2 linked regions of the Danio rerio genome follow. Each later gene encodes a partner of the first gene's protein in a complex. Links are inferred from orthologs where the notes say so. Each region holds a gene or a part of one and is shown in the gene's direction. Other genes may lie near its edges.

Region 1 (4,379 bases):
ACATAGGTGAATTGGTAAGCTAAATTGACTGTAGTGTGTGTGTGTGTGTGAATGAGTGTATTTGGGTGTTTCCCAGTTATGGGTTGCAGCTGGAAGGGCATCCGCTGCTTAAAACATGTGCTGGATAAGTTGACAGTTCATTCTGCTGTGGTGACGCCAGATTAATAAAGGGACTAAGATGAAAAAAAAAGAATAATTAACTATATAATTAATTATAACTAAAACATATATCTATATTCAATGAATTAATTTAGAATAATTAGAATAAAATGTAAAATTACTTAAATAATCAGAGATTTTATTATTCATAATTTCTGAAATTGTAATAACTAAACTGTAATAACTAAATAGAAGCTAAATATGTTCAAATAATATTTTATACCGATTTATAATGTTTCCTGCAGCTGAAAGGGCATCCACTGCGTTAAAACGTGCTGGATAAGTTGGCGGTTAATTCCGCTGTGGCGACCCCGGATTAATAAAGGGACTAAGCTTCTAGTTCACTCAAAAATGAAAATTACCCCATAATTTACTCACCCTTAATCCTCCTTTTTTCTGCCAGACGAACACTCAGAGTAGTTTTCAATTTTATCCTGGCTCTTCCATGCTGTATAATAGTGTTGGATAGTGGCTTTTATTTTGAAGCTTCCAAAAAGGTTTCAATCCATCACCAAACTAACCCATATGCTGTCAAGGGGTTAATGCATGTCTCATGAAGTGGACCGATGTGTGTCTGTAATGAAAACATCAGTCATTTTACAGTGAGTTTTGAGATCTTAAAGAGAGGGCTGGATTGTAGCAGAACAGAAGGTTGGTTAGATAAACATCAGCTAGATTATTTAAAGCTTTATAGGTTAGAAGCAATGTTTTATAATCAATACGGAACTGAACAGGCAGTGTAGGGAGAATAAAATTGGGATGATATTGTCATATATTGTAGACCTGTTAAGAACTCTGGCAGCTGCATTTTGCACTAACTGCATATTATTAGTAGAGGATGCTCGGCAACCAGCGAACAGAGCATTACAGTAATCTAATCTTGAGGTCATAAAAGCATGAACTAGCTTTTCTGCATCTAAGTTGGATAGCATACTTCGTAACTTTGCGATATTTCCTTAAAAATACTGTTTTCGCCTGAAAGAAGAGAGTCATATACATAGAGGATGGCTTGAGGGTAAATGAATTGGGTGAACTATTTATTTACTAGCAAATTTACAAAAATTAGCTGTACTATCCCTTTAAGAGTGCTTTTTTTTGATTCAGTGATTCAGTGAGTCGCTGACTCCAGAACAGCTTTGTCGTATATTCGACTCGTTCAGTCCGGATTTATGAACCAGCTCAATTGACTCACCAAAAAGACTCGGTTCAAAAGAACGACTCCGACATCACCAGCAGGGCTGAGCTTGAGCTCTCAATCAAATCCCACAGACGAGGAGTAGGAAGCTCTGCGGAGACATGTAAGATGGCAGAGTTGCAGATGTTACTAGAGGAAGAAATCCCAGCCGGTAAACGAGCTCTCGTGGAGAGTTACCAGAACCTGACGAGAGTCGCGGATTACTGTGAGAATAATTATGTTCAGGTAAGCGCGCGCGCGCGTTTTCTCTGTTACGCGCTGATCTCCAGCACTGCTGTTGGGAGTCGGACAGGAAATATGGTTGTAAAACGGGAAAGCAGGGATGAGCCGCTTTTTGGGAGATTCTTTGAAGACATCAAAGGCGATATTTCGATGTAGAGCTTGACTTGTTTAAGCGGTTTGACGATCAGATTTGTGATCGTGTTCGGGATTTGTTTCGTTTACATTGAGGGTGTGTCTGGATACTCTTTAACTTAGACATTTGAAGTTTTGCTCATATCTGTGTCAAACTTCAGAAAGGAGGATGTGAGATTTTGGCCTCGATAGGAGAAGATTAGATATGAAAGGACTTCAACTGATTGTGTTTGCTTATACTTGATAATAAAACTGAACTAGTGTGTCAAATGGGAACACGAGAGGTCGTATAAAGCTGAGCTTCAGTCATGTTTTATTTCACCTTTGTTTGTTTCTTTTATCAAATAATATCAGGTCGGCTTCCTGCAATGCTGTTTGTTACGTTGTTTTTCTAATAGATTATTAAACTCTTAAGTGGTCAACTTAAAACTTAATACTTCAAGAGCGTATTTGGTAATCACCGATTTTAAATACTTTTTACAATGTTATTCAATGTATTTATTTGTTCAAAGGCATTCTTATATTTATTTAGTGATATTATGTAATAACATAGTAATAAACATTTCTTAGAAGTTTGATTGCGGTCGTATTATTAGTTTATTGATAGGGTTTTGAATAATATTTTGCTTTCCACATCAATTCAAACGACAAAATACATACAAAGTGTAATAAATACAAGTAATCTGTGTTTAACATTTAAAATGTACTTACTTTTTAAAGGAAATAATGTTGAAATGTGGGTGAACTAATTCAGTTGTCATTCAGCATCCTGTAAAAAGGACTCCCAACTTTTGACCTTACCTTACTGTATAATTATTATAAAATTGAATTAAGTGATCATACTAAATATTATGTTTTGAAACATCTATCTATCTATCTATCTATCTATCTATCTATCTATCTATCTATCTATCTATCTATCTATCTATCTATCTATCTATCTAATAATTCTAATGACAAAAAAACAAGCTATATTACACTTTATTGTTCTGATCCTTGATAACTTTTTTTGTGTGGCCAAACTTAGATATAAATAGTTGATTTTACATAGTATTCATAATTAATTTTATTTATCTTATAATTGGTCATTAAAATATCTATTAATACAATTTTTAAAAATTTTAAAACATTCTATCTATCTATCTATCTATCTATCTATCTATCTATCTATCTATCTATCTATCTATCTATCTATCTATCTATCTATCTATCTATCTATCTATCTATCTATCCAATCATCTATCTATCTGTCTGTCTGTCTGTCTGTCTGTCTGTCTGTCTGTCTGTCTGTCTGTCTGTCTGTCTGTCTATCTATTTATCTATCTATCTAGACATCTAGACATCTAGACATGAATGTTACACAAAAGGACATTTCAGTTAGTTTAATCTTCAAATCGCTTTAATATAAATGACTTTTTATCATTATTCCACAATTGTAATGACAAAAGAAACAAGAAATATTATACTTTATTGTTCTGATTCTTGAGAATTGACTTGGTCAGACGTATATAGTTGATTTGATATATTTTACTTCCTGACATACTTCATTTTATTTAGCTTATAATTGGTCATTAAATATAAATATTTATTTTATAAATGAGTAAAAACATACACACTGAAAACATATATTTATTTTATTTTATTTAATATTTAAAAAAATATATATAATATTTATATTTTCTTTTATTGAATTATTATTTAAAGTACTAATGAAAGTATTTTTATGTGTTTCTGATTTAGCAAATTTTGGCTTATTGACCATTTATCTCAGGGGCGTAGAATTAGCACGGGTGGAGGGGACGTGTCTCCTAATTGAAATGTCCTCATCTATAATTTAATCTGTCAGCTCTCCTTATCTCTCAGAGTAGCATGTCGAATTTTGGTTGAAACTACTGTTTGAAAAACTAAAGCTTGTGCTCCACCAACTTTAATTCATACTGATGTATGAGACACGTTTCGTTTGTGCTATGGCTAAAATAAATAAACGTCTTAATTAAACTCTATAAAGCATTTGTAACAGTAAGTTTAATTCCCTTAATTAAACTTAATGAATTGTATTGTATATAGAGTGGAATAAAATAAATAAAATAGCAATGTTAACGTAAAGGGATTTTGCAGCAAATAAAAAAATCTGAATTCATAATTCATAGGTCCCCACCAATGTCAAGAGTAAATTTACACTCCTGATTTATCCATATGACTGCAATATTTCTAGACTCATTTTGCAGTTACAATAGAAAATATTGACTTTATTGATCATCTGTTTAGTGTACACTTGATCTAAATCTGATAAGAAACCTTTTGAGAAAAAAAATCTGTCCTCTACGATTATTTGTGTCAAACAGCATAATGTTTAACGCGTCATTTTGACACAAAACACCTGTTGGAAATGCCTAAGAGGAGATTTACCCCACCATCGAGATGTTTATCAAGCTTTAATTGTGTTGTAATTCCTTAAGAAGAAGTTGCTCGACAGGTAGCGCAACATTTGATAGGAAAGCGGCCTGTCAGGTTTGATGTAAAATGGCAAGCTTTTCCCTCCGCATGACCGAGCACGCTTCGGGTCGCACCGATACTACAGCGCCGACCGCAGGAGAACATGACTCAGATGAGAAACCGATCACTACATCAGAGTGTTCAAGTCCTGGCTTGACAGTACGGCCCGCAGCCT
Region 2 (3,831 bases), on another chromosome or scaffold:
GGGTACCAATTTAGTCTTGTTATTGTTATTATCATTATTATTATGATTTTGCAGTGAAAACCGATCTAATGCAAGTCGGAGCAAAAGATTTGAACATTTTAAAGCAACACTGAGGTTTTTAATTTCTGAATTAATGTTTTTGAATGAGTCATTTAGGTCGGGGATTCACTGTTTCTTTCATGAAGTCAGTGCTTTGACTTTAAATGAATCATTCAATTGAATTAATTGACTCATTAAGACTTGCAGTCACCTACTGACAGACTTTGTGTTTTCTTTTTGTTTTGTTTTTGTTTTGTTTATCTATGAATCATACCAAAAAATTGTTAAATGATTTAATTACAGAAAATAGAGGTGTCTTTTCTTTTTACCCCTAACTTAAATTTTGTCGGAAATGTTTTCCAGGGAGGATGGCAAGGAGGCTCTTAAGTTTTACACTGATCCGTCTTACTTCTTTGACCTTTGGAAAGAGAAAATGCTTCAAGATACCAAGGACATTATAAAAGAGAAACGCAAACACAAGGTGAGACGTGCAAGTACATCACCTTAAAATATCCTCCAGAGGCCAGCTTCTTTAACGTGTCTGTGTGTTGTCGTATTTTTGTGTTTAACGCAAGCAGAAGAAGAAAGATGACAATGTTAACCGAAGGAACTTGAACCCTCGGAAGATCAAAACCCGTAAAGATGAATGGGAACGCCAGAAAATGGGGGCGGAGTTTGTTGTCCCCAAAACCGATGCCTTGGGGTAATTATAATAAATGCCTACTGTATTCCTGCATAGGTGCATGATTTTCTGCCAGATGCTGAATTTAAAGGTCCAGTGAAATTAAAATAACGTTTTCTAGATGTTCAAGGATATCTATAAATTAGTGTGCTCCAAAATTTGCGTTTAGAAGATACAAAACTGAGATTTCTTGTTTTTATTGCTATGTATTTCATGTCATCCCTTTGCTGATAGGACTTCTATTTTTCATACACATTTGTAAGTTTGTATAATATCTGGAAAAAATGCAATAGAAATATTGGAAATATATAGAAGATATAAAACTGATATAAAAATGTAAAGCTAAATCAGGGCTTGAAATTGCAACCATTTTGGTCGCATATGCGCCTGAAATTTAATCTATGCGACCTCATATTAAATTTGGGAGCATTTGTGCGACTGCAGATAATGGTTGTAGTGCGACCTGTTTTTATTATTATTTTTTTTTAAACGTGCTGAATCGCTCCTCCCTGCCTCTATATAGGTTCATATTAGCTAACAATCACTCTGCGGGGAATGCAACTGACTGAAGAGTGAAAAGTACACTGAATTTCGATGTGCTGCATTTACTTTGTACTCAGCGCAAATGTCTGCTTAATGTAAAATGTAACATAATATACAATTTGCAGCGGTGCTCATTCATTTTTGGTGGGTGCTCCTAATTTTTTTCTGGTGCTCCTAAATATTTAAAGTTGGGAGCACCAGTGCTACCAAGTAAAAAAGTTAATTTCGAGCCCTGTAAATGATTCATTGTTTTGTCACCTCATACTTCAGGGGTCTGTTCTTCGTACCTCGCTTAAATGATCTAAGATGATTTGGCAGATCCTGGATCTTTTAAGGACTGATCTATCGATCCTTGAAATCTTGATCAGCAATGCAGCGATTGGCTGACGGCACAGCAGCGTAATGACATCATCTGATTAATATTCAATTATCCATGTGAGCAAAATTACATCAAATTAGCAGTAAACGGTTTGTTAAATATGACACGCAATAACTCCACATTTGTTGTGAGCTGCAGGCTTTACACTTTCATGTGTCAAGTGTATTCATCATGTATTTCAATGCAAATCAGTGTATTTAGTTCCACATTTAGAAAAGATTTTCTTTATTCTAGTAGCCGGTTTTTTAATCGTTGTAAAGAATAACTGGTTGTTTACAAAAGCATTTTGATTTTGGTAAAGGCATCTGGAACTTTTGTGAAGCATCAAATCACCGGCATATTAACTGTCAAAACATGTTTATGACTGCATAAATGTATTATTGATTTTAAAAAGTCACATATTGTGCATTTTTATTATACACAATTTGTACTAAAGCGATCTAAAAAGTTCATATCAATAAGTTTTCTCTTTGCACCACCAGGTGGCAGTCTTTGTACTTTCATTTCAAGGGTGCAGATTAATATATATATATATATATATATATAGCTTAAAAATATTTACCATTTCCCCAAGTGTATATAACTACTACTGTAAGAAAATATCAGAATTCTGAACATACTTTCTGTATTATCTTTGCTTGAACTGAGCCGATCTAATCCTGTTTATATGAATTGAACCTGCTCCCGATCAGGTTTGACCTAGCAGAATTGTTGCTATGACAACAACTCTCGGATCAGCTTTGAAGAACGAAACGATCCTGGATCATGTCAAATCGTCACTAACCAAATCCAGCTAACTGAGTAATCCACGTACGAAGAATGAACCACAGGTTCTCATCAAATCTTGACCAATCAAATGCTCTCTAGTGTCTGTGTGTTGGATGGCAGAGGGGTGTAGTGAAGAGGGTTGGTGAGTCGCAGAAGAAAGTGAAAGTGAATAGCAGACAGGGAAGAAGGGCGGTTGAGGAGGGGGATCAGAAAAACTAGCTGCCGGATCACATTTCAGAGATTCCAGATCCGGTGTGTTCAGGCACAAATTAAGCCCTTGTGATGAAAACTAAACTCTATTGGCTGTTTTCTTTTAAGTGGACCAACAGTGCTTATAATTGGTGGGTGCAACTAAATTTTGGCTGATGCCCCTAAATTTTTAAAGTTAGGAGATCCGGTGCTACCAAGCAAAAAGGTTAATTTCGAGCCCTGTATATTAAATAGAAATTGAAGGTATCTCACCGGATAAGTGGATCAGTAGATTCAGATATGCCTTGTTGCCTTCCTGCCTTTTATGTTCTGCATTTTCAGCTTTCAGATTCATCAAGTGTTTTACAATATCATTGATGTCTATATACATTTAACATTATTGTTAATGTCTCTCTAACAGCAACTCTTCAGAAGCATTGAACGGCAGTATTGGCTCTGGTGATGATGGCTACATGCACACTGATAGTTATTTGGAACAAAGCACTAACTCCTACAGCTACGATCCCGGCTCTCCTCTCCCACCTCCAGCGCAAGAGGATTTCCCACCTCCACCACCTGCAGACACGCAGTGAGTGTCTTAAAATAGCTCACGCTTTCCCTGTTGTTGAGTAGGGCTGTGCAATATGACGATATAACTCGTATGGATAAAATAAGTCAATTGTTTCATATTTTGCTCTATCATTTATTTCCAGGTGTTACAAAATATATGTTTATGTTAATAATTTTTCATAATTTAGAAGAGCGCAATATTACACGCCATTATGGGGATGCAGACAGAAACATGATTAACAGCATCATGAGAAAGTTGCTTTCTTGAAAGTAAAATGTTTACATTATGCATTTTATTTAGCATTTATTATTATTTAATGTAATATTGGACCTGTAATCATTCGTTTTTGGAAAGTGTTTCATATTTTATTAATGTTTATTTTAGTCAAATGTTGACCCTAAAGTTCTAAATAAAGTGAGAACATATACACAGTAAGATACATGTGCACAGTTGAAGTCAGAGTTATTAGCCCCCTTTAAATATTTCTTAAATGATGTTTAACAGAGCAAGGAATTTTTCACAGTATGTCTGATAATATTTTTTCTTCTGGAGAAAGTCTTATTTGTTTTATTTCAGCTTAAATAAAAGAAGTTTTTATTTTTCAAAAAAACATTTTAAGGTCAAAATTATTAGCCCCTTTAAGCTATTTTTTATCGATAG

The links.
Region 2: abi1a (region 1) and wasf2 share a complex: the UniProt entries of both Homo sapiens proteins name them as parts of the WAVE2 complex. The link is inferred for Danio rerio from reciprocal best matches to the Homo sapiens genes ABI1 and WASF2.

What each region holds. Positions count from the first base shown.
Region 1 is NC_133199.1:6,125,378-6,129,756, forward strand, and holds the start of abi1a (abl interactor 1a), read left to right. Parts: upstream 1-1,357; 5' UTR 1,358-1,462; coding exon 1,463-1,579; intron 1,580-4,379. UniProt on the Homo sapiens protein: May act in negative regulation of cell growth and transformation by interacting with nonreceptor tyrosine kinases ABL1 and/or ABL2. May play a role in regulation of EGF-induced Erk pathway activation. Involved in cytoskeletal reorganization and EGFR signaling.
Region 2 is NC_133194.1:46,366,759-46,370,589, forward strand, and holds part of wasf2 (actin-binding protein WASF2), read left to right. Parts: intron 1-402; coding exon 403-520; intron 521-617; coding exon 618-742; intron 743-3,021; coding exon 3,022-3,189; intron 3,190-3,831. UniProt on the Homo sapiens protein: Downstream effector molecule involved in the transmission of signals from tyrosine kinase receptors and small GTPases to the actin cytoskeleton. Promotes formation of actin filaments. Part of the WAVE complex that regulates lamellipodia formation.